Linked DNA regions of Nothobranchius furzeri. The protein of the gene in region 3 interacts with the protein of the main gene of each other region in a biochemical or structural test. Links are inferred from orthologs where the notes say so. Each region holds a gene or a part of one and is shown on either strand. Other genes may lie near its edges. The genes, in order: dab1a, clu and lrp2b.

What was found.
Region 1: the proteins of lrp2b (region 3) and dab1a form a complex in vitro, tested with the Homo sapiens proteins (2 studies listed by BioGRID). The link is inferred for Nothobranchius furzeri from reciprocal best matches to the Homo sapiens genes LRP2 and DAB1.
Region 2: the proteins of lrp2b (region 3) and clu form a complex in vitro, tested with the Homo sapiens proteins (3 studies listed by BioGRID). The link is inferred for Nothobranchius furzeri from reciprocal best matches to the Homo sapiens genes LRP2 and CLU.

What each region holds. Positions count from the first base shown.
Region 1 is NC_091748.1:41,691,083-41,702,112, reverse strand, and holds the start of dab1a (disabled homolog 1), read left to right. Parts: upstream 1-5,136; 5' UTR 5,137-5,533; intron 5,534-11,030. UniProt on the Homo sapiens protein: Signaling adapter of the reelin-mediated signaling pathway, which regulates the migration and differentiation of postmitotic neurons during brain development.
Region 2 is NC_091742.1:12,219,056-12,229,985, forward strand, and holds clu (clusterin), read right to left. Parts: upstream 10,153-10,930; 5' UTR 10,006-10,152; intron 6,964-10,005; 5' UTR 6,944-6,963; coding exon 6,823-6,943; intron 6,741-6,822; coding exon 6,592-6,740; intron 6,508-6,591; coding exon 6,337-6,507; intron 6,253-6,336; coding exon 6,082-6,252; intron 5,919-6,081; coding exon 5,717-5,918; intron 4,519-5,716; coding exon 4,378-4,518; intron 3,991-4,377; coding exon 3,773-3,990; intron 949-3,772; coding exon 764-948; intron 650-763; coding exon 637-649; 3' UTR 194-636; downstream 1-193.
Region 3 is NC_091756.1:35,641,751-35,652,780, forward strand, and holds the start of lrp2b (low-density lipoprotein receptor-related protein 2), read right to left. Parts: upstream 5,499-11,030; 5' UTR 5,337-5,498; coding exon 5,270-5,336; intron 4,197-5,269; coding exon 4,086-4,196; intron 3,898-4,085; coding exon 3,775-3,897; intron 1-3,774. UniProt on the Homo sapiens protein: Multiligand endocytic receptor. Acts together with CUBN to mediate endocytosis of high-density lipoproteins. Mediates receptor-mediated uptake of polybasic drugs such as aprotinin, aminoglycosides and polymyxin B.

The DNA.
Region 1 (11,030 bases), on a different chromosome or scaffold from region 3:
GAGACTGAGAGCAGACGAAGGTGAGCGAGGGAGGCAGATGGTAAGAGAAGAGATATTGGAGTGCAGGGAGAAGATGGTGAGGAGAGCTCTGCACAGATAGAAGGTAAACTACTAGACTCGGTAGGGATGAGATGAGTGGAGAAGAAAGTGATGCAAAATATGCAGATAAATCAGAAGAACGTAGTTGAGAATTAGGGATTTTAGTTTATGTTGTAAGTATGTGAGTATATGTGTACATACTATTGGTATTTGTCTTAAAATGAATAAAATGACTTTTAAAAAAATGATATTTGTACTGATTTAATACCTAGAAAGCTTAAACAGCTGAGTTCATCAGGCATTTTTTTATTTATTTATGGAAACAAGATGTTCATTTGAATTTGAATTTATTTATTTGAATGGGACAATGCATATTAATGAACATACAAGACGTAAGAATTAGCAACGCTAGTTTCCATCTGTAGTCCTATGTACATAAGGCACAGACATTACAATTTAAAACAAGGTAAAAAATAAAAACATACAAAGATTTAAAAACAAAGATAGCTACAATATCTGAATATCTCCTTATTTTCTCCATACCTGCAAAGAATCAAATTCAGACATGAGGCAAATCATTAGATTACAAGGATAAAACGACAAGAAGAACACGTATCTATAAAACCAGATGATTAATGTTTGCATTGATGAATTCCCAGTAGCCATGTTTTCAACTGACTTTTAAAAGTATGGAGGGAAGGACTGTCTCTTATATTAAACGGTAACTTATTCCACTCACTGCATCCCTTAATCGATAAAGTATTCTGTGCAAATGTAGTTTTCCTACATTTAACCTGGCAGTCCCCCCGTGAGGTCGATCGGGTATTGCTGGTACTTTTTTGCCTTTTAAAGTATTCCAGTAGGGGTGCCGGTGTGTTGACTGTCAGCGATTTGTAAATGAGACAGAAGATTTATAAAGTCATAAAATCATTAAAGGTTAAGAAGTAACGTTTTTCTAAAATCTTGCAAATGTGATAGGATGGTGGTTTTTGGTCTAAAGTCTTTGTTGCTTTTTTATATATTTGTTTAATTGGTTTTCGTGCAGAGTCACTGGTAAATGACCATGTTGTGGAACAATATTCAATGTGGGATCAAATCATACAGTTAAGATACAGTTTAGCTGCCCCCTCTGACATCAAATGTCTTATTTCTTTAAAATTACGCAGATTACAATTTAGAGGTTTAATCACTTGTTTGATATGTTTTTTGAATGTAAGGTTGCAGTCCAAGGTGACTCCCAGATATGTATAATTTGTGACCAACTCAAATTCCTCACCTTCCAGAAACACTGAAGACCCAGATCATGCTTTTCTTTTCTTAACCAGAGCAGATTTGACAGGTTTTTAGGTAAACACCAAGCACACTGTTTTTTTTTTGTGTTCAGGTACAAAGTGTTCCTTTAGCCAGGTTTGGATTTTGGGCATGGCGTTTGTAAAGTATTTCTGCAACAATTTTCTTGTCCTTACCCTGAACAAAGATCACAGCATCATCAGCGTACATAGCTGTGTTAAGTTCAGGGCATATGGTCGGTAAGTTATTTATGTAAATAGAAAATAGTATTGGTCCCAAAATGTATCCTTGTGGAACTCCGACCTTACAAGTAACAGAGGCAGATCTGACACCGTTCATAGCTAAACATGGTGTTCTGTTGTTGAGATATAATCTCAACCACTGAATGCAATCACTTGAGAAGTTGAAATAAGTGAGTTTGTTCAATAAAATGTCATGGTTTACAGTGTCAAAGGCCTTCTTTAAATCCAAAAATACGGCTCCCACACATGGATTTGTATCTAATAGACCTTTGACCTGCTCTATGAATAAACAAAGAGCTGTTTCAGTGGAGTGTCTAGCCCTAAACCCAAACTGGCATTGGTCCAACGGAAATTGACCCTCATCTAGATGGCTAGTTAACTGAACAGCAATCCATTTTTCTACAGTTTTGGACATGATGGGTAGAATACTTATAGGTCGATAATTAGCCAAGTCAGTCTTTAGCCCGTTCTTAAATACTGGTGTAACAGTTGCCTCCATCCAAGAGGAGGGAACTCTAGACTGGCTGATAGATTGGTCAACCATTAATGCAATTGGTGGGACTAATGGTTCAGTGTGTGTCTTAAGAAAATGAGAGTCAATTTCCAGACAATGTACATAGTGAATATTGGTTTGTCATTAAGCAAAAACAAGGGATTGCATTTGGTGTTGGAGGTACCTTAAAGATACTTTCAATTTCAGAAAGTCCTTCAAGAGAACACCCTGTAGAAAGTGGCTGTGTTGTGTTCTCGGCGTGTTCTGGCTGACCGAGCGTGACCACATCCATCAGGTCATCCATTCATCAAGCTTTCTGTAAAAATCCGAAATGAAAAAGCAACTTAACCTTCAACTGATCTTCAAAAAGGAAGGTTATCCCGTTTTAATCCTACAGGTCAAAGCGGAGACATGCGTGCATTTCACAGTGAATACATAGTAACCAGTAACAGAGTCAGATATATTTAGCTAAAACAAATATGGTGGTGAAAAATATTTAGGTCTGCTGCTCTGGAGTTGGACTAGCACCTGCAGGCAACTCAGCCCTCATCGAGTTAGTCTGAAACAGAAAGAAATACTGCAGCAGGACAAGGTTTCATAACTCATGTAAGCTTGTTAGACTGAGAAAATGTTGTGACCACACATTTTATTGTGTCTGACACAGGAGGAGAAAAAGCCGAGGCTTGTTTAGTTTTTAGTTTTTTAACAATTTCTATTATTTCTAATACCACTAAGCCTTGAATGTGGAGACAAGATGCTGGCCAAACTGAGTACAAATGGGCACAATGGTTGATCTTTATAACCATTGACCTAGACAAGTTGTCTTTTTGTTAAACTGTAATATTTGTCATGCAGGCTTTGTGGCTGTTCTTAGACAGTCATTTCTCTATAAAAGTATCCCTAAAATGTTGACATACTAATGTTTACAAAGTATTTACTATTCCTTCTGGGTGAATTCCAGCCCGTCCTATAGGTCCTTATGGTAACCAACTCAGTGTGTTTGTTTACACGAACTTTGTATTATTTAATGTTTTTTTTATGTTCTATGCCATTTTTTCACAATGAGATGGTGGACTGACATCCGTAGCGGTCCAATCACAGCTCTCTGTTGGTTTGGTTGGCCAGTTGCAGCACTCTGCTGGTGGGCGGGATGTTACTGATGCAAAGATGGCGACAGCTCGTTTGAACTGGCGTAATCAACTTTGGACTATTTGACTTGGGTTTGTCTTTGACTCAAGAGCAGATAGAGCTGTGCGTGTGTGTGTGTGTGTGTGTGTGTGTGTGTGTGTGTGTGTGTGTGTGTGTGTGTGTGTGTGTGTGTGTGTGTGTGTGTGTGTGTGTGTGTGTGTGTGTGTGGAAGGTACTGAAAATATCAAGCAACTCAGCTTCAAATTAACCAAACTTCACATCTGTAAAACAAAGTTGTAGCCAAATCTGTGCAACAAAATAACAGACAGGCAATAACATTATCACCCAAAAAGGAGTGCGATAAAAATGAAAGAAATTAGGCAATGAAACACACACACACACACACACACACACACACACACACACACACACACACACACACAAACATATCCCAGCATATATTGGTCAGATGTCCACGGCCGTGACCATAATAATTTTATTATGAAACATCCAAAAGACACGCGCTGAAAGACATTTATGTCACGGCCAGAAAAGACGTCAGTTCAACTTTCATTTTGGAATTATTTTTCAACCATGGCGGAACGTCTCGGTTTGACGTTTCAGCGGCCATTAAACATTTGAATGTTTGCTGGGGTGGCTCTGTTCTATTTTTTGACATAACAAATGGGGACTTTTTAAAATGTGTTGTTTTAGGCATAATTCCAATCCAATCACTGACAGAAAATGGATAGATGGACTTTTTCACGTTTTTAGTGTTTATTTTGGCGGTAGAGACCTATGTGGTAGCACAAAAGGTGGGTTTTGCATTATATATCCTCTTAAACTTGGTGAGCCTTACACACACCCTCATGAAATTCCAAGCCTTCAGTTCTTTAAAGTTCTCACTGAAAACTAGTAATGTGCTTTAAGAGAAACTTTATGAGAGAAAAAAAAACATTAGACAGAGTGAAGGCTTTGCCAAATCCATGATTCAGCAAAGATGAGGGTGGCATGACTTCACTGTGGGTGGTTATCTAATCAGTAACGTGTAATGAATGACAGGATGAAGGCTGCAGCACCAGTTAGAGCATTCATGAGCTGGCAAGTGTTTTTGCCAGCATTACTATGTGTGTAGTAAATGAGTGGGTGTGTGAAGACGATGAAGTCTGGCCAGCAAAGTCATCCTCTGACTGAACCCCAACACTGTCCAAACCAGGGGCGGCGTTAGGCCCGGCTACTTGGGCTGAAGCCCCGGATCTTTCATGGAAAGCCCCGGATCTAAATCGCAGAAGTAACATGCAGTACCAAAGTCCAACAGAGAGGGCGCAGCTGGCAGTAGTTTGTATACAGCCTGCCTGAGCCTCCACCACTGAAGAAGAAGCCCTTCAGCAGCCGGCTTCTTCTACACTCTCTGCCTGAAACGCATGAGTGAAGATGGACATAAGGACGTTTTTTAGACCAAAAGTACGGCGACAGAACCCCAGCTTTGATGAGACTGGTGCTGACTCAGGTTTGTGAGTCTTATTAGAAAATATTTGTTGTGCTGCTGGTTTGCCTAAAGTTAGCTTACTATCAGGTAAAGTTGTTGGAGAAAGAAAGGGAATATTTACTATCATCTCACACTAAACACTAACAGGAACAATACTCTGCCCTGAATATGCTTCATATGTAGCTTCAGATTAAAAATTATGTGGTACAAGTCATATATATATATGATGTTGACTAGTGCGTGTCACGTGTGTGCGTGCGTGTGCGCGTGTGTTAAGCCCCGGATCTTCTTCAGTCCTAAATCCTCCCCTGGTCCAAACTGAGACATGTCCTCAGGTTTGACCACGTGCTCCCCACTCCCTCCCCATCTCTCCTCCTCCTTTATTAAATATTTCACTTTCTAAATCTACCTCTCGGTTCCTCGCATCTCCTCCTCACTTCTTTCCCTCCACCCTTGAAACATGGAAATCAGGGCAGTTCAGCAACGGAGGGGTTAAGACAAACTCAGGCTTGTGATTGGCTGCCGGCCGGCGGTCTGATCCAGCCTACAGAAAGAGGTAACCAGGCAACCTCAGAGAGGGAGAGGAAAGAAGAGGGGGCAGAGGACCGGGGAGTAAAAAAAGAAAAGAAAAGAAAAAAGAAGAAGCGCTGGCTTACTTTTGTGAGAATTGTGGAAAAAGATGTAACAAAGCTGGGAAGTGCTCTCCCCGGAATGGAAGACTGGATTAGAGTCCCTGCTGAAGCACGCTGTGGATGTCTCAGGAAACCAGGAGCAGACTCAGGGATGACTGGATTCTAAAAGCCTCGCTTGGAAATGGGAACTAACTGTGCTCACTTTCGCTGTAGTGCAAAGGTAAGTGCGCTGTAGTCTGAAGTGATGCGGAAAAACTGGAGGAATTCTGCGCAGACCGTGCGCAAAGTGTGCACTTTCTTTTTATGAATGTGTGCGTGTTATTTGGTGTTTGGAGAAGTCTGTGGATTTGCTGTGTTCGGCTTCTTACTGCAATAAAATTTCTATTGCTGCTGCTGGTGCTGGTGCATCGGGGGTTTAGTGCGCGCGCGGATGCTCGTGTGTTTGGCGGTTGTGGAGGAGTGACCCCCTCTGTCAGACAGAGTGGTCAGGGGGTGCTTGTGTGTTCCTTGGCGGGAGGAGAAGAAAAAGAAGGAAGCTTTGCTGCATTTGGCGTCTGCATCTCTGGACCACTGTTCCTAAGCGCAGATCTTTAAGAGGAGCAGCTCGTCCGTGACTCAACCTAATTATTGTTCACGCTGTATTCTCCCCATCCTGTGCAACTTGAGCCCATCTTAACGTTAATGACACGTCACAGCGTAAAAAACTTCCTTTACGCACGGAGGGTTGCTCTGATTCATGCGTTTGGGTGAAACTGGCTGACACGCAGAACTGTCGAGGCTACGCTGATGAAGTTTTAGTATTGAAATGTGTCCGTGACATGTGCGATCTGCCTCTCAGCTACACGACTTCTGGATGATGGAGAGAGGGAAGAAGCGACGGAGGGAGCGCAGTCCGGTGGTTTTCCCCTCTGAGGGGCCCGCTCTGCTGCAGCTAAAAGCCGCATTAATCATGGCTGTGGCTCTGCAGACCCTCACCCTCCTCTGCTCCTGCCTGCATCAGACGCAGATACAGCAGCAGGTGCACAACTCTGGGTTTGTCCTGTATCTGAGCGGTGCAGATATGTTCTTATAATTAAAATCAACAAGTTGCTTCAAAGGAGCATGCATATATTTTTTCCTGCTATCAATTTAAACAATTTTATAGTTCTCGACTATTTAATTGTATTTAGTTGACATTTATTATGAGTTCACTTTAAAAGAGAAACTCCGTTGATGTTATTTATTTATTCCTTTATTTTGGTGCTGCTTCATCCAAAGAACATTTGGCTACTTTTTTCCACTTGAGCCAAACTTCTCTTTCTTTCGCCTGTTTGGGCCCAGCTGGCGGCTCCAGGTTGTCATAGAAACCCACGGAGCATTGTAACTCTCAAAGAAGGTTCTTTTTTCCTCCTCATTCTGTTACGTCTTCCTCCCCTTTTCCCCTTTTCCTGCTCTGCGCCATTGTTCTCAACCCAGCCCACCTTTCACAACTTATGTTCTTACAGGCTGCATGTGTGCTGACTGATGACAGACAATGCCTCTGAATGGATGCTAGGTTTAGTCCTGCACAGAAAGCACATGTTTGATTTATCTTCACCTCGAGACAGCTTTGGAAGCAGGGTTGTACCTTTCCGGCTCCTGAAACCTTTCATGGTCTTTTACATTAAAAGGGGGGGTTCTCTTTGTGAGTTTGTGTTCCAGTTAGAGAAAAACCCCATTCCGACTCTCCGCTGATACCTTGTACTTATTCAGGTCTTTGCACACCCTCATGACTACCCTGAATGGGGATGAGGTCCTTTGTGTCACACCTGTTTGAGTAAGTTTCATCAAAACCAAAGAAATCCAGTAAACATTCAAAAACGCCATTTTTTATCAGAAGAAAAGTTCATAAAATACAAAATAACTCTAACTCTTCTTCTAAGACACTCAAATAATTGTTGCAGCGTATGTCGCTGCCTGTTTTGTTGAGGCAACATATTGGCACGTGTTGCTATGGATACAGTTCAATATGAAAATAAATTGACGGCCCATTCAAGTTACCTGCTCAACGAGGCGGCAGCTGGGTCTCAGTGGCATTTCTTTAAATAAGTGTTGGTGAAAACAATGAGCAGGCAGCTGCAGTGGAAAGCAGCACAACTACAGTCCCCGCAGGAAAGGATGATCTCACTTTTAATAATGACACATCTGAGATCTTTGTACCTTTACTTATGTCTTCTCCAATAGATGTTTTTATTTTTATTACTCTGAGTTTGGTGCAGCATGAGGTGCTTATCGTTTGACTATGTTGTGAAACTGGTAGAGACGTAGATTATATGTCAGCATGAAAGTTGTGCTGGTTCCAGCATGTGCCTGACTTTCTCTACAGTGCCTTTACTCTGAACCGTAACAAATATTAAGCATTTCAGAGGAAAATTCCTTTGTGTCCCGTGTCGAGACCTTTGCCTTTCCATCCATCACAGTACAGTCCACGGCTCTGCAGGTGTCTGAGTGTAGCTCCAACTCATGACGGAACAGTGAATTTTTCTCAGTATGAGTCCAAGCTGCAGCAAAAAGACTTCACACAAACCCTTTCATGTCTTTCTTAAATGAACAATGATGACAAATGTTGAATTTGTACTTCTTTGGAACAGTAATCCAAAGAAAGGACATGAAAAATTTACATTTTACGTACCTTTCTGCTGTATTCTTTTTCTAAGATTGTGCTGTTGCACAAAGAGGCAGAAGTGGAGTTGAGAGGTTATTGGCTGGAAGCCCATAACATTGATTTACTTAGTGTGTGTGTGTGTGTGTGTGTGTGTGTGTGTGTCCATGTCTGACATTTTTCTTAGATATAGCTGGCACAAGGAGTATTTTAACAAAGCTTTGGCCCACGTGTGCGTTGTATGCCTTACTTACTTGTTTATTTTAGAGAATTCAAAATCTGGTAAAAACAATATGTACACAGATTCAGACTCTTCTAACGTTTAAAACACAAGGATTTTGCTCAATATTGAAATCTCATATTTTGTAACATCAATACTAATTTATTGGCTAAGAAAATGTTTTCTCTTTAACCAAAATAAATGGTGCAGCTTGTCTATATTTGAGATAAGATAAGATAATCCTTTATTAGTAAGTGGGAAATTTGCATTGTCATAGCAGAAAGTGGACAATTGAATAAAAAAATAGTACCAACAAGCATACCAATGTGCAAGTATTGTCCAAGCACTAGATTGGTAGCATAGTGAGCACAGCACATAATAGGGCTGGGCGATATATCGATATTTTTTAAATATCGAAATAATTTTTAAACAAGGTGCAAGATGACTACGATTTTATATCTTTATATCGATATAACTGGTCAAACTGCTATGCTAGCGATTAGCCGCTATGCTAGCGTCATGTTGCTCCGTCTCTAAGCGGTCATTAAATGTATTCTCACAAGTTTGCTCAATCTGAGAGCCTCTGGGTAAATGTGCTGCTCTAAACGTTGCATTTGGCATCCTGGTTTTTAATTATTTGGGGGCGTTCAAAGGCAACGGAGTTCTGTTTATCCATCCTGAATGTGCGGAGGGACAAGCCAAACCCCTCCCTCCCCTGTGTAATGAGGAAACATCTATGGATAGCTGGAGTAGCCAAATCACCTCAAACATACTGTAAGGGTTTGAATAATTAAATAATTTTACATTAATTATGAATATATAATTAAAAAGTGCCTGTGGGACATGTGATACACCTCTAGCTCTAAACTGTGTGTTAGCAGACAGATGTACTGTACCAGTGTTTCTAAAGCTCTGACTGGTAGAGAATAGGCACTAAGGTTAAAGTTTGACAAGAATCAATACATTTTTATGCATTTAATCTACTGATTTATGTATATAACTTCTCAAGACAGTTTGCAGTGAGTTATCTTGTAAATATTTTACAAGAGGAAAAATATCGAGGTATATGTCGTATATCGGAATTCAGCTAAAAGATATCGAGATATAAGTTTTGGTCCATATCGCCCAGCCCTAGCTGGGCTAGTTTACATCTTTTGACAATTTCAGATTTTTAGTGATTACCTTGCAAGACATATATTTTGATCACCATTATGCGCTGTTTTCAAATAAGTTTTTTGATTATGTAAAGCTTAAAGTTGTCACAACGTGCCGGTGAGTGAGACGGAGGTGAGGATCCAAGTGCAGGGGAAGAAACAGGCAGGGAGGCAGACAGGGTCATTCCAAACACTGATTTAATGGAGGACACGCAGGACAATGAAACAATGAGCCAACCAGACAAAATGGACTAACAGGGTTTAAATACAGGAGGAGCTGGGACCTTGGGCGATTGGGAGACGAGAGGCAGGTGGGAGCAATTAACATGGACACAGGACTGAACAGAATGGGGAGACAGGACAGGGTGTGACAGTCCCCCCCCCCCCCCCCAAAGGGCGGATTCCAGACGCCCACTGGAACACAGAGCAGGGCGGCAGCGGCGGCCTCTGGGCCGGAGGTGTCGTCGTCGGCCTCTGGGCCGGAGGTGGCGGCGTCTGCCTCTGGGCCGGAGACGGCGGTGTCGACAACTGGGCCGGAGACGGCGGCGTCGACCACTGGGCCGGAAATGGAGGCGGCAACCACTGGGCCGGAGGCGGCGTTGACCACTGGGCTGGAGACGGCGGCGTCGACCACTGGACTGGAGACGGCGGCGTCGACCACGGGACTGGAGACGGCGTCGACCACTGGACTGGAGACGGCGTCGACCCCTGGACTGAAGGGGACGTCGACCACTGGACTGGAGACGGCGTCGACCACGGGACTGGAGACGGCGTCGACCACTGGACTGGAGACGGCGTCGACCACTGGACTGGAGACGGCGTCGACCACTGGACTGGAGACGGCGTCGACCACTGGACTGGAGACGGCGTCGACCCCTGGACTGAAGGGGACGTCAACAACTGGACTGGAGACGGCGTCGACCACGGGACTGGAGACGGCGTCGACCACGGGACTGGAGACGGCGTCGACCACTGGACTGGAGACGGCATCGACCAATGGACTGGAGACGGCATCGACCAATGGACTGGAGACGGCGTCGACCACGGGACTGGAGACGGCGTCGACCCCTGGACTGGAGGGGACGTCGACCTCGGACTAGAGGGGACGCCGACCCCTGAACTGGAGGGGACGTCGACCTCTGAACTGGAGGGGACGTCGACCTCTGAAATGGAGGGGACGTCGACCTCTGAACTGGAAGGGAGCGTCGACCTCTGGACACAAGGGAGCGTCGACCTCTGGACACGAAGTTGCGTCGACCTCTGGACACGAAGGTGCGTCGACCTCTGGACACGAAGGAGCGTCGACCTCTGGATTCGAGGGAGCGTCGACCTTTGGACACGAAGGAACGTCGACCTCTGGACACGAGGGAGCGTCAACCTCTGGACACGAGGGAGCGTCGACCTCTGGACACGAAGGAACGTCGACCTCTGGATACGAAGGAGCATCGACCTCTGGACTGGAAAGAGCATCGACCTCTGGACTGGAAACAGCGTCGACCTCTGGACTGGAGAGAGCGTCGACCTCTGGACTGGAGAGAGCATTGGCCTCAGGACTGGAGAGAGCGTCGACCTCAGGACTGGAGAGAGCGTCGACCTCAGGACTGGAGAGAGCGTCGACCTCTGGACTGGAAAGAGCGTCGACCTCTGGACTGGAGAGAGCGTCGACCTCTGGACTGGAGAGAGAGTCGACCTCTGGACTGGAGAGAGCGTTGACCTCTGGACT
Region 2 (10,930 bases), on a different chromosome or scaffold from region 3:
TCTTCTCTTGGCTGTGGGATCCTAGATGTTTAACTGCATGGATGTACTGTATCTCTGCAGACTTAACTAGCAGCTGTGTGATTTTTACACAAAAATAAAAAAGGCACAATATTTTATACCCACACCTCTCCGTGCTCTTTTGTTTTTGTGTTGTGTCCAAGCAAGGATTATTAGAAAGAAGCCAAAATCCAAATGGTTTGTAGCTGGTTTAATTTATTCTATTTATTGCTGTTTTTATTTTCCAAAGCAGCTAAAAAGAATTTAAATTTGTCAAATTACAAATTCCAGTAACACAATTGTCAACAATAACGGCAAAGTCACTACGACATATCAAAGAAAGTTCAATGAACATGTGTAAAATATTTCATTCTAATGAATCATAAACCAGATATCGATCAGCAGGATGCAATTAATTTCCTTAAAACACATTTAAAAAGCACATTTTTTGCAAAGGAGACTCGGCTCAGACCTTATTAGGCCTTCCTGTAAGGAGTTTCTACAGCGGAACTAACTTGTTATGACCCTTTAGTTGTGTTTGTTGCAAAAGTAGGACTGGAGGTTCGGAGGCGGACTCAGTTGTGTTTAGATGAATTTGGAGCGTTTTGTGAACAGTTCAAGTGCAAATCCAGATGAATTCTATTTGACCAAACTAGAAGAGAAAGACAAAGAAACCAGAAGTCACTGATGCAGATTTTGGTGGACATCACTGTATTAACAGAAAACCTGCAGCTGGCTGGAAAACATTTTTTATTTTCATACTCACACGCTGGTTTCCTTGTAACGGTCGAGAGCCTCCTGAGCCACAACCTCTGAGAACTTCGGGTCGGTCCAGGGGATGTCGCCTGAGATGGTGAAGTTCATGGATGGAGAGTCGAAGAGCTGCACCGACACTCTGGTGTCTGCAGGCTCCTTCTCACCTGATTGCACCTCAGGGCCCGTAGCCACCACCTGCAGCGGGAAAAAGAGCTGAAAAGTTATGTTTAAAGTTTTATTCTATACATTTGCAGAGATCTCTGGTAAATGTGTTGTGAGTCAGTCTCTCGCTCCCATCCCAGGAAGTAAAAGTTGGCCAGTATAGCAGACGGCAGGTTTTGGAGTCTTATTTCCCGATTTTCAGACCTCTCGCCCCTGATTGGCTAACAGAAACACAACTCTACCACTGCATGTACTGGAGTTGCTAATGCTAACTGTGAGCTTCTGCTAGCAGAGATGTGCTCCGCTCTCTTCTGGACACTAAAACAACAGCAGCCTTCCTCGGTTGCGAGCCAAGATGGGTGAGTCCATGAATGTTAATTTGTAATGTGACGTTGGCTTTTCTAATCTGAACGTTTCCCCGGCTAATGCAGGAAATAGGGTTTCAAGGCTTTTTTCACGTTCAGTCAGCATGTGAAACTCTGAGTGAACGATCATATCTCAAAATGAAGTAAAATACTGTTTCTCTGTGAACTTGTTTCAAATAAATAAATACACTAAAGAGTTTTTCACACTTGAAGCTGTTGAATTCAAACTGGTTTCAGTGGTTCTTGGGCCATGAACTTGACCAGAAACTTTACTTAACAGTTTTGTGGTTCTGGTAGGAACACTTGGGAGGTCTCTACTTGCTGTTTACTGTGCAGCTAGCCCTTAAAGGCTAGCAGTTACCTTTTTCAGTTTGCAGACCTTTAATAAAACACTGAAGAATAATTTTGCTTTTTTTTTGTATCATGGCGGAGCCTCGGAGTAAAAGACCTGATTGCACCTCAGTCACTGAAGTGATTCATTCATACTAGGTATCACCACTAGAGGGCATCCTTCGCCCTTTTTTATGATTTTACCCTCACTGTGAATAAGCTTGTTACTGTTGCTACTAGATGACTACAGATGTTGCAGAGTAGACCTATTATTTTCAACTTCCTTTCTGGCCCGGCCTGCCAGACTCGTCCTCTGATAAATCTGCACAGAGTAGTGATGTGACATTCATGAACTAATCAAATCTTTTGAACGGGTTTTCAAAGTGAATGACGAGAAACGAGTCCCTGTAGAGAGCTGTTCATCTTGTCGTCCGGTAGCAAACCTCCCTGGAAGTTGGCAAAGCGCACCCGCTCAAACCCCACCCACCGCTGTGACGGACGTAGGAGGAACGCTAACCAACCCTGTGTGCCCTCATGGACACCGCAGGAACACGTTGCTCTTAATATCCCCCCCGCTTTTAGCGCTTCCACTTGTTGTGGTTTTAAAGACATTCAAGTCATGGTGTCATGGAGGAAAGCGCTGCAGCGAACTCCGCCTCTGTCTTAGTTGTTTATGAGAAACTGAGCGTCGTTGTGTGTGACAGCGCAAACATCTTTCATTAGAAGAAAGGCTTTTAGCGCTTCTACTTGTTGATTTAAAGACGTGTCCAAGTAATTTAGAACAGAGGAAAGAGCTGCAGCGAACCCTGCGTCAGTCGCCATGTTTGACAAACTCGGCTTTATGGTGTGTGACTACGCTACTCAGTGCTGATTGGCTCGGTTAGAATTCTCAGGGGGCGGGGTTATTTGAATAGGAGAGCTCCCAGACCCTTCTCTGTGCAGAACTAAACAGAGGACGAGTCTGGCAGGCCAGGCTACTTCTTTTCATGTATGAAGGGAAAATACGTTACTTCCCACAAGACTGTCTTTGCAAGGTTACTGTGAGTTTTCAAACAATGAGCGAAAATGTGTAATCTACCTTTCAGAACTGTGTCTACCAGAGGTGTGGACTCGAGTCACAAGACTTGGACTCGAGTCAGACTCGAGTCATTATTTTTAATGATTTCTGACTTGACTTGATAAAATCTATAAAGACTTACGACTTGACTCTGACTTGAACACCAATGACTTGCGACATGAATCGACTTGCATCTGTTGACTTGATCAGATTTGATATTTTAGAACAAAAGTGGCACGACATGGACAAAAATCATAAACCATTCTTCGTTCTGGGTTTGATTTACTGCTAAATGAAGCAGCACTTTGTTTAAAATCATTTTCACTTGCATTTTCTACTTGTTTGAGCAAATAAAATAAGCTTTATTTCCGGGATTTATTTATTATCATTGTCATTAAATTGAAGTTGGACAGATGACTTGATTATGACTTGAAAATTCAAAGTTAAGGACTTGGACTTGACTTGGACTTCCACATCATTGACTTTGGACTCGACTTGGACTTCTCTCGAGACTTGACTGGAAAGACTTGTGACTTGCAAAGCAGTGACTTGGCCACACCTCTGGTGTCTACCACTAGGGGCAAGTGGGAGTTAAAATGGATGCCTCATACCGCTATATGTGACGTAGGTTTCGACTAAAGCTTGGAAAATGAATTCTTGCCCATTTGTGCTGCTTTCTTTCTGTCGACCATAACAAGTAGTATGTTTGCTGACTCGAGCGTGGAAGCCAATTACCCTCAGCTAGCACCCGAGCCACGCACCATTACAGGGCGAAGCAAAGAGCTAAAATCAGAGTGAACATCAGCGTGGACTTCACTTGTTTGAGGGAGCTAAAGGAGGCTCAATCGCTGACTGATGGTGACCTGGCTTTGTTGCTACTGGACTTTTATGTAATATTATTTTGGCCAACAGTGTGGATCTTTTTACTTCGTGGCTTACTAATATATCAGTTTCTTTATGTTAGCATTAGCTCGTTGTTAGCGCTAGCTACAGCAGGCTGTGGCAGAGTTGTGTACGACAGTTGTAATTTCGTCTTCAATCAGTAGGAGGGAGAAGTGGGAAACTTATTTAGTGGTGCTTTAAGTTGACTAAAATGTCATACCACCTTAACATGGAAGATGCCGTCCTGGGTGTTGTTAGCCAGAGACGACACCCAGCCGAACTGCTTGTTGAGAAGGTCCAGGATGGAGGAGGTGTTGAACATCTGCTCCTCGAACCTTTTCAGAAGGACGTTGTACTGCTGCGTGAACCGCTCGGCCATGGCTAGGGCCTCCTCCAGCTCCTCCTTCAGAGGACCCTCCAGAGGTTTCTTCCCAGAGCAGTCTGTTGGGGACAAATGTCAAAAATGATCCGACAAAAATCACAAAAGCTGCACAGAGAAGCCGTTCTCACAACAGACACCTTGATGGAAGCACAGGTGTGTTAACGAGGGCTGCATTCCACTCTGGCTGCAGCAGGTTCCTGCTAACGAGCTGAACTTCTAAATGGAATGCAGCACAGGTTAACACGCAGGCAAGTCAAAATATTAGACTTGAAGTAGGTCAGATTTTAGAAAACACTCTTATAAACAATGATGGTACAAAAACCAAAACAAAAAAACTGTTTTTCTTCATTCAAAGACAAATGTTACAATTTTAATAATTGGTATGTGAAAACAGGTCAATAGAACAGGAAGTTGATTTATTATCAATAATACATCAACACTCTCACCAAGATGCTGGATTTCTTTGCATTTCTCACACTCATCACGGAACTTGATGCAGCCGGCAGAGTTGCGACGAATCTCCCTGCAGGTCATTTTACCGCTCCCAAAGGGCCTCGTAATGATCACGTCCTCGTTCACGCTGCCGTCTGCAGGTAGCGCGCACACGCACGCACACACACAGAGTCTATTCAGTCATTAAAGAGCAAGTCACCCCCTACCAGAGTATTACTCCACTCCTACTTCCTGTTTGAAAAATGCAACAAATGCTGTTGCCTAGCAGACTGAGAGGGCGGAGCTCTAACAAATACACACTCACACAGGCTCACAATGACATTGTGACATCATATGGTACCAGCTAATGTTCTAGGGTACCTCTTAGCCAATAGCGATGGCAGATTTAAATTCAAACGCAGTGCAGAGTTTTTACCTGACAACAGCACAACACTGACAGTTTTAGGCAGAAAATTAAAATTTTAAGTAAAATGCACTAAAGTGCAAAACTATTGACTACACGTGTCTGCAGCACGATTAGACACACATTTATATAGTTTATCAGAAAAAAAAGTTGATTTGGGGGTGACTTGCTCTTTAAAGGTTACAGGTCAGGAGTTTACTTTTAAAATTTGACTGTTAATTTGACAATTAAAATATACTTTCAAAATAAAAGCAAGCAAGCAAATGGACAGGACATTTTAAAAGTCAAAAGAAAACTTTATTTACTAAAACATTTATTTGTCAGGTAAAAATGGTCAAATATATCTCAGGCCCTGTCCACACGTAGCCGGGGATCTGCCAAAACGTAGATATTGTCCTACGTTTTGGCCTGTCATCCACACGAAAACGGAGTTTTTTCACACGAAAACGGATCTTTTTAAAAACTCCGGCCAAAGTGAAGATCTGCGTTTTCTCCGTTTTGGGTGTCTGCGTGTGGACAGGCAAAACCGGAGTTTTAAGGTCCGCAACGTCACTTTCCGCGACAAAACAATGCTGACAATCACGTGTGCGACCTGTGTTTACACTGGCCGGCATCATGGAAGCCCTCAGAGCTGCGCTCTGTCACTACCCGATCCATCAATTGTCCAAGCGCTTTTTGCTCGTTTGTTTTTTCAAGAGGATTTACTGCTCCTTGCGGAAGACCACAGACGAAGGACGAGGTTAAGAACGGGGGAAGTACTGCCGCCTACAGGTCTGGCATGTCCTTAACAACGTATTTATCCGGGTACGTGTGGACAGAGTCTGTTTTTAAAACGCGGTGGTGTGGATGCAAGTTTTTGGAGGGGTGGATATTCGTTTTTAAAAAACCCCGGCTACGTGTGGACTAGGCCTTAATCAGCATTAATTTACCCTGATTTGTTGGAGTGTCAGAGTCCAGGTCTGTCATGGCATCCATGGAGCCAAACAGGTTCCTGCCCATCATGGGGGAGAACAAACTCTGGAAGTTGTGGAAGGGATCGTGGAAAAGCGTGTGGATGCTCCTGCTGCGGCGCATGACCGGAGCCAGGAATCTCGGGAAAAAGAACATGGGAGGGTGGACATGATCAGCCACCTGGGAAAAAAACGCAAACAGCTGATTAGGTCATTTTTTATTGTTTCTGTCAAAGCAGGATTGGATCACATGATAAAATGTCCTTTTCCTATTGGAAGGGGATTAGAATCTCCAGCAGATCCAGTACTCCTGGTGTCGTGTGCTAATCCGCGCTCGGCGATACCTTCATGCTATCTGAGAAGATGCTCTCCACTCCTTCTGACATCTCTGTGTATTTTTCTTCCACGTTCCTGAACTTTTTGCTCTGTCGCCGTCCCTCCTGCTCCAGCGTGTCGATCCGCTCCCCGTTGATCCAGATGGAGAAGGGAGATGTTCTGTTCAGCACATCCTCGAGCTGTGGATTCAGAGAGGACGTTTGGCTTTGATCAAAACCTTTTTCAGGAGTGGCAGGTTTCCCAGAGAAGTGCGTGTGTCTGACCTGGCGTCCCACCAGCCCAGATCCACTGCTGCAGGTACGGGAGTAGTACTTAATGCAGGTGTTCTTCAGGCAGGGCTTACACTCCTCCCACAGAGCCTTCATCGTCTCGTTACAGACCTCCTCCTCCTTCTCCAGTTTGGCCTCCATCTCCTCAGCCGTCCGTATCGCCTCCTGCATCCAAACAAAGCTCATCACATATAAATGAGTCTAGAAGAATTTTTACACATAAAATACATTTCTTCCTGTCTTCTTTACCTCCTTCTGCTGCTTTGTTTTCTCCAGAGCATCCAAAAACTTCTTGTGGTCTTCAGAAGATTTCTGCATCACATTTTTCATTTCCTTCACGCCGCCAATGGCGTTTTCAATCTGTTTGTCCAGATACCTCTCTCCCTGGACGGAGATCTCTGAAGATCAATTATGAGAAAATGAAAATGTCATGTAGAAAATATCAGTTTGAACCTGGGAATCTGTCCGTTCAAACTTTACCATTAAGATCTTCCCTCGATGGCGGGAGGATGCAGCTGGCCGAGGACAGAAGGGCAAGAGCCATCACAGCCAGGGACTCCTTAGAGCCTTTCTTCTTCATCATCATCATTATTATTAGCATCCTCTCTGACTCAAAGGGAGCTGGAAATGACGAGTAAATTAAAAAAGAAAAGTTTAAAGTTGCTGTAATGACAGTGAGGGTCCAGCAGGGGGAGACCTGCGGCTGCAGAGGAGACGGATGGATCTACGCTGCAGAAAAATGAGATGTTTGCTCTGCAGTTTCAAGCATTACTCAGCAAAACACCAAAATAACTGATCATTATGTTTGTCTTGAGCTCACACTGACCTCAGATCAGCCCTTCCTGTGACACTGACCGGCTGTTCCCGTGAAAAGCATCATTATGAAACCAAACAGCAGGACCTTTCTCTGTTTACCCATCCCTCTCTGAGGTCAGCTGATTCAGCAGACTGCCGCTTCAGATTGTTTTATCTCCTCAGACGCACGCAGGATAAATAAAAGACGAGGAATCTACCAGAAAGACGAACTCTCATCTGTGTGCTGATTTATCTGGGCGGTGTAATTAATGTTCTCTAACACTTCACACAATCATTTTTTGTCTATAAGCACAGGAAACATTTAGGATTTGCATCTCATGCTGGAAACAGAAGATTTCATGTTAAATAACGAAGACTAAATGAATGAGTCATGGTTTAAATAAACAGAATAAAACTAAAACTCCCGTCTCCATGGCAACACATTGAAATTTGCTGCTGAAAGTTACAAAATAGAAACATCTCCTTAAAGAAAACTGTTTGCTTTTGCTGATGATGTCATTGTTTTGCAGAAGAAGAGTTGGTGCAGATTTTTTAGGAGAAAATAGTTATTGAATGTTTAGATCATTTGTGCTAAAATGACGCTTTACAGCAGGGGGTGCCCAATCCTGGTCCTAGGGGGCCGGTATCCAGCACGTTTTGGTTTTAACCCTGCTTCAACACACCTGTTTTCAATCAGCAGGTGATTAGTAGGCTTCTGCCATTCAAAGCGGCTCACTAAATTATAATGTCTAATACAAATTACAGTAAAAGAATAAGACAAACATTCAATCCTAAATCTGCAGGGATTTGGTTTATTCCTTGGAAAGGTCTCTGCTGTTGCAAAATGGTGACATTTGAATTTGTGCACGGCGCCTTACAGGTAACCAAACTATTGCAGGAGTTGGCAGATGGATGAAGGATCAGAGGATTCGTTACCAAAAAAACACTCAACTCCTAACTAATAAATCACCACGACAACTCGTCTTCACAATAAAAATATGTACTTCCATTTTCTTTGGTAGTAGAATATACTCTTCTCGTGTGGAATTAACACATCAACCAAGCACCAAACTATGCAGCTGACAGAAATTTTGATATATGAAACTTCTAGAAAATATAAACATCCAAACCATGGATATTTTGTGAAACTGAAGAATCCAACAGATCTGATGGTTTTGCTCTACGTTAATAAAAACTAACAGTTTTAGGTCTGGATTTATTGGCCTTCAGTGATTTAGTCTGCTGAAGTTTCTCACGATTATTATCTCAAGGTTCTTTTATTGTTTAGTCTGGGCCGAATCAAAACAAACAAAGCTGGTTTAGATGTAAACGACTTTATTTTTTCATCTTTTAATCACATTTTATGGTTTATTATTGTCCACCGTCACCTTCACGCCCACCATCACCACCTGTTTCGATGGTAACAAGAAAAACACAGAAGCAGCAGCTTCTTCATTCCAAACCACCACATTTATGTAATCACCAGATCAATGTTTAATGATTTTCAGGTCAAGTTGAGTTAATATTTTGTTTGAACAACTTTCATTTTTAAGGTTATTCAATTTAACTGCAGGCTTAAAACCCACTGCGGAAGAACAGACATCATAAAACACAAAGAGCTCATGATTTATTTGATGATAAATCTCTGGTAAAGCATTTTTCATTTTGTCCTAAACATTTAGATTTTAAATATCAGTTGTGGAAACAGCAATGTGAAAATATGGCAAACTGTAGTGGGTGGAAAGAACAAAACGTGCGTCAGAGGAGAGAAAACAGCAGAGAAAGTCAGACAAGGTAGGAGTCGGACGGCGTTGTTTGCAGAGCCACAGCTGCAGGGATTCTGGTTACACAACTGAAATACCAACACTCCTCCAGATGTTGCAGCACCCTCCACCCACTGCACTACAGATGGACTTCTTAATAGTTTGTAAAAAGACAAGATTGCAAAGATTGTTTTTCTTTTCCATAATAACCAGTTATCGTTATTATTATTATTATTACTACTACTACTACTATTATTAATAATAAACTTTCATCCTAAAGAAAATTTAAGCCTGCAGAACATCTCCTTTGGAATTTAAGAGACTCCTAAGCCTATTTTAATGTTTTCACATCCTGCATGAAGCAATTAAACATAATATATTGTTTTTGCTGTATTTTAATATTTAGGATGAATGTTTTTGATGTTTGCATTTAAAATCAAAACACCTTCATCCTACGGAGATATAAGGTTATAATTAAGGTTCATGTAAGGTGAGAACGACTAATCTTTTCTGCAAATGGGACGCTTACACGTGTGGCCCCATTTCCACCTTATTTTAAGTGTTTGGGGATTTGTGCACCCAGAAGGAACTTTTTTTAAACAGCCATGCAGAAAATCAAGGTCATCTTTAAATGAACACAAATAAATCATGTATAAAAACTTTAAGTTCTGTCAGCGGGATCATAAATTAACAGCATACATTGATGCTGTTTACAATGTCTGTTAGATAATAAAAAAAAACTGACAAATTTATTGTTTTGGTTGAATTTTCTTTTCTTATTTTGCAGTGTTTATGCTGATGTCTGTAAGGTAAACCAACCAAAGAGTGACGTCATCTAAACTAATCCAGTTGCTTTTAATCAGGTCACACCCGTGGGTAAGCAAAACAAACACCAGTCATGCATGTTTGCACCATAAATCAACAGCAGAGACCTAAATAATAGATTTTTAAAGATTCTACTTACAAAATGTTATTCTTATTACAATTATCATTTGACAATAAAACAGTATCTGAAGCGGTTTGAACTCGAAAAAGCATCATTTATCTTAATGCGCATCCCTTTGGTGCAAAAGATTAAAAAAGAAAGAAAGTTCCTGAGACTCACCTCTGAATTTCCTGGATCTGAAGCCACACCAGTGCCGCTGCTGCCGGTATTTATGTTCAGCAGGAGGCTAACGGGAACGGTGCAGGGAGGCTGCAGCATCAACGGCGTCCCAGCGACGTAACAACACACCAACTTCCTGCCTGACCCTTCAGAATAAAACTAACAGGAACGTTTAGTCGAGTTGAACACAAACAAAACGAAAGACATATTTAGTGTTTGAAATTCATGGCAAACATATAACACGAGGATTTATTGAAATAGAATGACATTTAAAGGTAATGCTACAGATAGCTGGTTGTTAGCTGATAAGCACACTGCTCCTAAAATGTTTTAATGAGATACACAAAAATATGTATTTGTCTCAGTGAGATTTAATGTATTGTTTGATTTTATTATATTTAGAAAAATGGAAGCGATAACAGATCATTTTGTCTACAATACATCTTTTTTGCTAAAATAAGCTATGCTACTAGGTTACTTTTTAATCTCACATTACTGTTAAATCTTTTATTTCTTCCATAATTTTCACATTTGTGTCACTGAATAAGAGCGGACTTCAAACAGAACAAGGTTTAAGCTCCAGTGAGATTATGTTACTTGTTCAAATTTACCTTCTTTTACACAAATGTGGAGTAAAAAAACAAACATTTATTTTGAAATGCAACCATGTTTTCGGTGACTGCAGCGTTTATTTCCGGTGACTTGATGGCCGTGACGCATGACGACCTTTCCAGAAGTTTTCAGATTTATCGGCAGAGCTGAACGCTGCTGAGCAGGGAGACAAACATCTGATTCACAGACTGTGACTCATCTAAAATGTCTGATGTTTCCAACCACAACACAACCACCACTTTGAAACCAGGATGAGCAACATGGAGCTTTGTAATGCAACAACAAGCAGCATTCTTTACACTGATGACACATT
Region 3 (11,030 bases):
CACCTATATATTAACCAACATAATAACCTTTCATCTACAGAAATAAATCCACTTTCTGTTTGGCCTTCCAAAACCAGAAGGTTCTGCTCATTGCGTGTTTCCATAAAGTAGATAAAACACCCAGACAAACATTCTCTCCCAAGGTTCCTGCACTCACTGCATGAAAGCCAGACATCAACATTCTTCACTCTGAATAAATGAAGACTCCATGATTTTAAAACTCATAAACTTACAATAATCATATGTGATGAATGAACAAGATGTTTAAAGGGACTTTACGGAGTTTTGAATTTTTATGCTCGCGATTGCCCCTTCAGGCCAAAAGCATAACGGCAGCTTCAATAGTAGTCTCGTGCACGAGGCGGCATGCTGTTCGTGCACACTCCTTAATCAAAATAAGAGCTGAGACAGTCCCTTGTGTGTGTGTGTGTGTGTGTGTGTGTGTGTGTGTGTGTGTGTGTGTGTGTGTGTGTGTGTGTGTGTGTGTGTGTGTGTGTGTGTGTGTGTGTGTTTGTGTGTGTGTGTGTGTGTGTGCGTGTGTGTGTGTGTGTGGCCCAGAGGACAGAGGGCAGGAGAACGTGCAGCTAATTAATTAAATAATTTGGTTCTGTATGCTTCATACACAGCCGACAAAGGTTTAAGATGGGTCAGTCCTGCATGTTCAGATCATTCCCTTCCCTTGCTTGAAAAATTGTTCCAAAATAAAATTTGAACCCACATCTTTTTTATCTGTGAATTCAATGCCGTTCGGCGAGTCTCAAATAAAAATTTGGGCATCTTACTGTAAAAAAAATCGACCATTAATGTAAAAAAGAAACTCTAAATAAACTATGTTCACATCCAGAATCAAACCTGGATCTTCTGCACGACAGTCCGACATCTTACTGGGTGAGCTAAACTGCTAGTAATGTCCTTTGTATCTGTAACATTTATATCCTTTATGACAGCTGAAACAATGTTCAAAGAACGATTCGGAGCGAAAATGGCTATTTTGTTGCTAATTTGTAGGAAATATCTTGAAGAAAGTTCTACAGAAAGTAGCTAAGAGTCCTCAGAAATGTAGCTAGCTTTGTCACTAGGCGTTAGGAACAGCGACAAAGACTAAAGCTACTGATAGCAAATGCTACGGGCTATGCCTGAGCGTGAACGCGCATGAAGCAGCCTGCTCGACCTGAGCAGCTCTCTTTTTCTGTGATTTTACAGAAAAACAGGCAATCACAATAAAAATGCCAGGGCTCATTCTACAGGACCAGGGCATTGCAGGAGAATGTATGAAGAAGACATTTATTATTTCCATACATGTTTTGGCTGTCAAACTTCCATAATGCCCCTTTAAATGAAATGTTTGAAAAATCTGTGCTTAAATCAATGAATTTGAAATGAATATTTTTCTTACAATGATCCATTTACATCACAAATCACTATGTGTTTGATTTAACAAGTTAATCATTGTTTACACTCATACACATTACAGTAAGATACATATTAAGGTTAATATTCACCTCACATAAGAGTTTTAAAGATTCTTATTCACAGTGTTAAGAAATCTTTGTATCTGAAGAAGGGCGTGGCTTTCTGAGGGATGTTGGTAAATATGTCACACAGTGGAATGTGTGCTTTATGTTGCTTTAAATTATTTTAATAATTGTTGGAATTTCTTAACAGTTTTGTGTTATTGCATGATTTTGTTGTGTGTTGTTGGTTTTATGTGCATGTTTAGTTTAGATTGTTTTGCCACTGTTGACATGACAGTCACCTGAAGAGGTGGGCATGACTGTGAAAGCGCACCAAGTGTGCATAGTTAGCAGGCTGATAAAGGAAGGAAGCTGCAGAACTGCAGGAAGGAAAAAGAGACCAAAGAAACAAGAAGGCAGAGGGACTGGACTAATATAAGAGGACGTAGCACAGAACGGGTTGGATCGTGGGAGGAGCAGTTCATCCTTGGCGTGCAGCGACAACGAGTGGGAGCAACGCCTTTGAATGACAGCAGGGTGGAGGTAGGACCTCTGCCTGCATCCGTGAGTAGACGGCTTCCACTGTTGTATGTTGGGTGATGCTCCGAATGGGCCGATCCTACGGGAGGAGAAAGAGATTGCACTGCTTCACAGACAAAGGTTCTGCCCCAGTGATCTGTCCTTGTCAGGGAGGAGCGGCGAGAGCCCCCGGGAGATCACGCCTGAGACGAGCGCCTGATGAGAGCGAGACCAGAGACTGCTGGAGTCGGACGCCGAAGCCGGGACGTCGCCTTTCCCTTCCTGGAAATTCCCTCCGCGTGACTTTGTGGATCTCGGAGGAGCCCAAGTATCTTTGGGGGTTTTCTTGAAGAACAGGTTTTAATTGCTTTTATGGACTCAAACTTTTTTTTAGTTATATACTTTTAGACGGGGGCTTTATTTAGTTAATAAAAGAGGTCGCAGACAAACTTCTGCTCTCTTGTGTCTGTGTCCCTCTGGTTTTGCACCCTCGCTCTCCACCTGTGTCATTGTGAATCCCTGGTGTGGCGCCTGAGCTCTGCAGCTCCAGTGTTGCCTAGGTTACAAATACTCAGAAATGTGTCAAATTCTGATTGGCCAAACTCGGCCAAAACTCATAACAAAGTAGTCTAATAAAACAAGAATTACTTCCTGATTAATTCAGTTTCCAGCTGACCCCTGATTCGGCCAAATCGGGAAAGAAGCCTCTTTAGAAACAAACTCCTTTGACCTTAAGGCAAAACTTTTCTGTGACGCTGCAAATGATTACAGACACAACAGATCTTTTCAGAGCTACTTCAACTCTCAAACATCCACCTTGGATGCTGACAAGCATTCCAGCTGCCTGTTGTGACCTGGAGACATCTCAAGACTGGACGGGTCGTATCAGAGTTAATCTACGGCTTCAAATATCTTGAGGTCACCAGACTTCTGGCAGTTCTGGATCTGCACTAAGGGTCTCCACACGGGTAGTAGACACAACAGATTGCGTCTGATGAGGTTTTTATCAATAACCAATGCTCTAGTTTATAACAAACAACAAATTATTTTACAGTCAGATTTCACAATTTCTCTCAGATACAAAGAACGGTTGCTACAACATCAAGCTTCCATCACAACATCTCACATCCACCACATCACATCTCATTATTCATATCTTGTCATGTATAAAATGTTAGTTTGGGAAAAATAATTAAATTCATTTTATAAACTATGTACTGACTGTCTGAATTAATACGAAGTGTGTTTATGGTCCCTGATGAAGCAAAGAACCCTAGAATCTTCTGATTAAACATTCAAAGATGAATCAGATTGATATTTCATATTTATATGGAATCATCACATCTTATTGGTCATAATTAATATGTTTTAATGAATGTGTTATGGCTTGGGACGTACCTATAGGATGACCTAAACTTTTCAGAACTTAGTTAAAATGTTCTCCACAACTCTTACTAAAGTCTTTATTACTACCATGAAATGAGTCTAGAAAACCACATGCATTTGTGTTCAAAAACTACAAGAACATATCTTTAAAGGACAGGTGCAAATCATCTCAACACGAGTCTTATGGCAGCAAATAACTGCAATCATGGCAATCATTTTATTTGCACATATGACACGTTCTAGTTTAACAGATAGTTACTTCTGAGGCGATGTTGCCATCTAGTGGATTCTAAAACATTTCAGCTAAAATATCTACAGTTATTTAATTCCTTTTACCAATATGATAGAAATTATTGTAAACATACATTTTAACACTTTAGAAAACATAATAAAATCTTTGGTTTGTGTATTTTACCGCAGGTTCTCTGTTCATCTGAGCCATCGACGCAGTCCTCCTCCCCATCGCAGACAAACCCTGATGAGATGCACTCTCCACTTGTCACACACTTAAATTCCTGTGAAGTGCAGGATGGAGGTGCTGCCACAAAATAGCAAAACAAGTGATTTTTTAATCAATATTCATTCACCTTACATCACTTAACTGCTAGTCAGGTGACTTTCAATTTAAACTTTTAGCTCTTATCAATTGTATTTTGTTTAAAATTGACATTTTTAGCTCGTGTTGAGAATGATGCCATCTATATTGCAGATGGTTATAATACTTACGACAGTTGAGCTCATCTGAGTCGTCTGTACAGTCTTTAGTTCCATCACATCGCCATTCTTTGCTAATGCACTGACCATTGGTGCACTGAAACTCATTAATGCCACAGCTTCCTGCAAAAAAAAAAAACCCTCAGACATTTAATTATACTCATTTTTTGATGGGCATGGTGTGAGCTGAACTTCATTCAAGTTTTTCTTTCAAGTAAAATATATATTTTCTAAATAAGCTTTTTTTAAAACTCCTAAGTTAGTTTTTGTGTTTGGTAGAAAATGGCCTTTAGAGATGACACCAGAAAAAAAAAATCAACAGATATTTATCATTTACAATATTTTAGCATTTGAACATTATTTTAAAACAATAAGAAATATAATCTAAATGTGTTTCTTTTTTAATAATTGTGCACCAAGATCCAATATCAAAGCTGCTGAACTTGCCCAGGTCACAAAGTGTTTTATTACAGAATTTATAGCATTAAATTAAATGTTTGATGTCCGTGTCACCTCAGTAAAAACATCACATATTTTCCTATGTTTTACGAGTGAGCGACCATGTTTATGACAGTTAAAGTTGCTTCTTGTGCAGTATCTGAAACTTGTGGCATGTGATCTGGTCTTTAAAGAATAGTTAATTCTTCACCTTGAATTGACACGATCTTGTGATCCTGAAATATATTAAACTCTCAGACCAGATTTCAAGAACAAATGTGCTTTTATAACTCTGGGATTCAGATTTATTTATATTTATAGAGATTATTCATCAGGATTACTTGTTTTCAGTTTGGGAAAGCAGAGAGACAAAAACAAAAGAAACATTGCAGACATTTTCATACAGATCAGTGTAAATTAATATTGATAAAGTGTGCTTCCATCTAAGATTACTGCAGTTTATAACTTCTACAGATTATCACAACCTTCTAACTTACCCCGTGTAGTTTATTTGTATCTGACTGCACAGAAAATTTACTCCCATTTAAATCTATAAGTTTTGAGTTGGTTTAAACTTTAAAGCAAATGTTGTCATGATACCATGATGTTGATGCACAAAGTTGTTTTTGGTCAACAAATAGGATGAAGAAAGCATGAATTTATCCTGCAGCCATCACTGGCCATCGCTCAGAGCTCCTATTCTTTTATTTGACCCATATTTGCTTTAGAATACAGCAAAAACACAAGGAAACACATACCTTGTACAAGATGAAATCCTTGGGTCAGCAGCAGTAAAGACAAAACATGAAGCCCTTTTAGGCCCATAACTGAACCTTCACGTTCCGTCTCCAGTGTTTCTCAGCTCTGGTGTTAGTTTGATCAGCTCTGAGCTCTCATGTTCCCTCTGCACCCACGGCTCTCCCAAACCCAAATGATCGTGGAGGAGATAACGACTTTGGAACTGAGATGCTTGACCCCAACCAACCAGCAGATCAGTAATGTGACACAGAGTTATACAGGTTTTTATGACTTGCTGTTTTACATAAACTTCATCTAAGATTAACTTTTACCTGTGGATGTGTGGTCCACGTCAGCAAAAACACGTTGGTGTATTTTTGAGGCAAGAAGGTGAATGTGAAAGGTTTAAGTCAGATTAAATATAATAGTGTCTGAAATAGTTTGGATACAGACAAAAGTTGAATACGTTTTTTTTGTTGAAATTAAACATAATTTAATGACAATTTTACATCAGAGTCATGAGTTAATTTCTGACCTCTCATTTAAAATCTGTATGGTTGCATAAATGTTTTAAAACAAAATAATTGGATTTTTAAGCAAATCTGAAAAGTAGATAAAAAGAACAAAGATATAAGAACAAAATCACTGATATTTTTTTTTTTTTTTTTTTGTGAAAAGGGTTAATCATTTAATTCATAGAATGGAAATCTTTGCATCCTAAAACTGACCCCTAAGATCTTTGGCTTCCACGTGAACTAGAAGATGCTAGATGGTCATTAGATCAGTGTATTAGATATTGGTAGATACATGAAGGGCCCGGCTGATACACCCAGGTTTGTCATTTACACAGTACTGACCTTTGAACTATAGGTTTAATTTTACCTAAACCTCCACATATAATAAACATGTTTTAAGGCATGAACATCAAAAATGCATGGAGTGCTTCCAGGGTGTGAAGTGGTTGTGAGTACCTCTGGTGCTCTTTAGTTCAGGGATACAAGCAATACAAAAAAGAATTGGATCTTAGGCACTCAGGAGGATGAAAATAGTCAAAAAACCTTTACTATCCCATGGCTAATCAAATAAAAACATGTCTACTAGCTTCTTGTCCTATTTCGTCATTGTCTCTCCTCTGGAAATGTCCAAACCGTCTCAGTCTTGCCTCTCTGACTTTATCTCCAGAACATTTAACATGAGCTGCCCCTCTGATGGACTCAGATTAGATCCTATTCATCGTCGTCACTCCCAAAGAGAACCTCAACATCTTGAGCTCTGTCTTCTGTCTTGTCCTCATGGACACTGTCTCTAAACCAGACAATATGGCTGCTCTCACAGCTGTTTTCTACATCTTTCCTTTCATTCTTGCAGAAACCTTTTATCACTCCTGACACTTTTCTCCATCCAACCTGCACCACATGCTTCTTCATCTCTTTTCCACCCCCTCTGTTGCTCTGTAGACCCTAAGTCCTACAGCACTTCACTGCTGTCTCACTGCTCTCATGCATGTTCTGCACCACTCTAACGCTTCTCCGCCACTCCGGACCTTTTCATGCACCACAGCTCCTCTCTCATCTCTCTTTACTTATTGCTCATGCTAGATACTTTATTTCACTATAAGTTCCTTCATTTTCTTGGATAATAATATAAGACTTACCCACAAGATGCATCACACAGCATTTTTATATCCATTAACTGCCACATCATTGAGGAATTACCAAGAAACTGTCGACAAGCAACTTTTGTTCACTTTATTGTTTTTTATGACTTTGTTACAGCAGTTCTGCTCATCTGGTTTATTATAGCTGTGCAGCAGAAATCAGAAGCTCAGAGTTTCTCCAGAAAGGCAAATTAAGTTTTATCAGCATTTCCTGACTGCAGGAATGATGCTTTGTATTAAGACCATTTGTTTTTTAAATTAACAGACTTGAAATCCGCCCAATCAGATGTTGATACGTCACTGAAAATGTTGATTCCCACATAGAGAAATTCAAAATGACCTCTTATCGTAAATGTGAAACTATTTAGGCTTGATTCTGTCATTGCTCTGCAAAACTACAATAAAAAGATTGACTTTTCTCAATGGGAAAGTGAGTCAGTTACTCTTTGTGAGAACACCACCAGTTGTCCTCTGTTCTGGTTTCTCAGCTTGTTGTTGAATTATTTTTAAAAATCTTGTAAAATCGGTCAATCAAAGTTTATTTATACAGCACATTAAATGCAACAATGTTGCCCAAAGTGCTTGACATAAAAAAATGAACAGTCAATTAAAAAGACATAAAATAAGCACAAAAATAAAATCAGAAAAAAAAGTCATAAAAAACAGGACAACCCTTTAAGCCCAAGGTGTTAAAAACTTAGGAGTAAAAATAAGTCTTCAGTAACTTAAAAAAAAAAAAGATGATGCCTGCCTAATGGTGATTGGTAACATTTTCCAAAGAATAGGTGCCACCACTGAGAAAGACCTAAAACCTCTTCTCTGTAGCCTCGCCCTAGGGGCATTGAATCTAAGTTGTCAGCCGACCTCAGTCCACAAGATGGAACACAATGCACAAGAAGCTCAGAGAGATAGACAAGTACCCTAACCCTAAACATTTATAAGCCAGAACCAAAATCTTAAATTGGACATGGTATTTAAACGAGACCCAGTGTAGAGCGGCAAGAACTGGAGTGATATGATTCAATCTACAAGTGCCAGTCAAAAGACGGGCTGCAGCATTCTGAAGTAGCTGCAACCTAGCAATACATGCTTAATGCCATGGTAGACTATTGCAGTAGACTAAACGAGAAGTTCCGAATGCATGTATGAGCTTCTCTAAATGGTTCTTAAGCAAAAAAGACTTCACCTTGTAAAGATTTCTCAGCTGAAAAAAGCATGATTGAACAACATAATTGACTTGTAAATAAAAAATAAGCTGAGAATCAACCTTAACACCCAGATTAAACACAACATCCTTTGCACAATTCGAAAGGCCATTCACCAAAGACTGAGGAAATACAGGAGAACCACTCGGTGCCAGCATAATTAGCTCAGTCTTAGACTAGTTAATCGGCAAGAAATTACAGCTCATCCAGTCCTTAACCTCACAAAGGCACATTAGAGCTATTTCCTTAACTTTAGTGGGGGCGTAGTCATCTGCAAAAAAATGAAAGTTAAGGCCGTATTTTTAAAAATAGCACCAAGTGGGAGCAAGTATAAATTAAAAAGGAGAGGGCTGAGTACAGAGCCCCGTGGGACCCCATATGAGAAGAAAATCACTCGAGCTAAAACTTCCAATCCTAACCAGAACTGCATGCATTATCATGTAGATTATAGGTCTTATACAAAAGCTGATTAAAAATAAAGACAAATGTGACCAGCTTTAACAATTTCTTTTAGGGAAGTCGAACTGCTTTGCTTGATATCATAATAACATTTTCTTCATGGGGTAAATCTCTGACATCTTGGGAGGGCAGTTTATGTGTAAAAATGATCCTCGCTTAACCTCTGTTTCATGATGTTTTGTAATTTTTTTCCCACCTGAGATGATTCTTATGGGAACTTCCGTTAAGCCAGATGCAAGCAGGTGGAATGCCAGTAAAAATTCACTCAACCAGTTTTACAGATTATTTCCTTGTAAAGAATGATAAAAAAAAGGCAAGAGCCACAGTACCTGTTTGTTTGCCATGATTGAGGGAACTTTCAGTGAGTTTTATAAAATTTCACTATCAGTTTTCATGTTGTTACAATACATTACTATCTTGCCTTATTTTTGGTGGACTTTTTACCCCAGAGAAATATTTATTTGCAGCTATTTTCAAGGTTCCACATCACCCTATTTTAAACCTTTGAGAACAAATACATGGACGTAATTTTTTTTTTGGGGGGGGGGGGGGGGGGGGGGGGACATGTCCCCCCCACTTTTTCCAAAGTGAAGTTTTGACCCCTGCACTTTTTACCATCCAAAAACAATATTACTTTATATTAAATTGACACTGGTTGAGCTCTAGGACCAAGCAGAAAACAACCGTTTGTGTTGAAGCCTGTTTCCCATTAGAACATACTGTGAAGATACCCCCACCCCCGTGTCCCCCCCACTTCTAAAGTGAAAATTACGTCCATGGCGCAATATACGATAAAATACTATCGCTGACACTATTGAGATGTCATTTATCTTACAGTTTTTCTCAATTGCTAAAGCACAATTCCTGAAACCTTGCTCCCTTTTCTCGAAACATTAAACACAAAACCTCAGCTTCGAGCACGATTTACAAAACCTCTCATTCCTCTTGCAAAATCAAACTTTCGCCTCAAAACAGTTTTAGCTGTGCTCAAAATCAAACACAACTCTCAGATCATAAACAAATTACTCAAAATTGCATACACCATCAATCAGTCAGTAAACAATACACCAAAAAATAGAAAGCACAATGTTCAGAGCCATATAATTTGTTTATTGAACCATATATGCAGCCTGCAGACCATTGTGCAACAGTGTTCAATGACAGTGAAAAAAATACATAAAATGAAAAACATCAAAGGACTAAACATGTTATCAATGGGCCTCTTCTTGTCTGCGGGCTGGGTCAGGCCACAGCACTTCATCGACATCACATGCAATATTTTCCCTCCTGAGGCTCAAATTGGGTTGCACTCAAAGCCCTGCTTCCCTCATTGTCAGCCCATGGACAACAACGTGGTCTGTGATTGTTGCTCAGATTTCATTGGATATTTCCACTCTTTGTCTTGCTCTTCATCCTCCTCTTTCTCTCTCTTGCCCTCCTCCTCATCCCCCACCTCACATATGCACCCGTCCTTGTCCTCTCACATGAATTCTTCTACCCATTGTTACACTTTCTCATTCCCACCTTCAACAACCTGTTTGCTCTCTGAACTTGCTTATATTGGTTGTCACATCATTTGAAACAAGTGAATTCTATTTTGACTGATTTTGTTCAATCAATGACGTTTGTGCTCCTGTTATGGGTAAATGTGTGCCACTTGTGTTTACCGTTATGGATGATGTGTACATTAGAGTGCAGAATGTGTTTTAAGAATGAGAATGCGTTTAGAGTTTTGCTAAACCGTGTGAAATGGTTTAAGGTTTTGACAACAGGCTCAACAGTTAGCTTAATGAGTTCAAGCAACTGAGAACTATCTTCAGTCAATGGATTTTAGTGTTATAGCAATTGAGAAAAACTGTAATAAATAATATTACAGTTTTTATCCATTGGTTTGGCTCATTTCTTAAAACAGAAATTACATTCTCAAAATAACATGGACAAACCTCCAAACCTCTTGGCAAATGTTCACAACATAATGGCATTTCTCATTCATTTTATCAAATGGCAAATGCCTTAGTACATCTCTCAATTGTCTCAGTGCATCTTTGCAAATGATTAAGTACATGCAGCCTACAGTTACACAGTTAGCCCACATTTAGCACATTTTCCAACTGAATAGATCTTGTAGATCTAAACCGATTAGTTGATTCTCAGTCTAATGATCTTTCTCTCCAAAACATGTCAGCATGATTTCATTGTATAAGTACTCGCATGCACATCTGTCTGTTCAATTGTCAGAATTGGTCAAGAACATAATACCATCAATACCATACTGAATTGCTTTGAATATTTGCTACATTGATGACAGTCATTGACAGTCAGGTGAAACTAGACTAACAAACGGGGAGTGTCACACACAGGTGTTTTCCATGATCGTGTGCTGCCAAACACAGCTATATAGACAGGAGTGCACATAATATTTTTGGGTTGGTACTCAGGGGAGAACCTATGGTTGTTGCT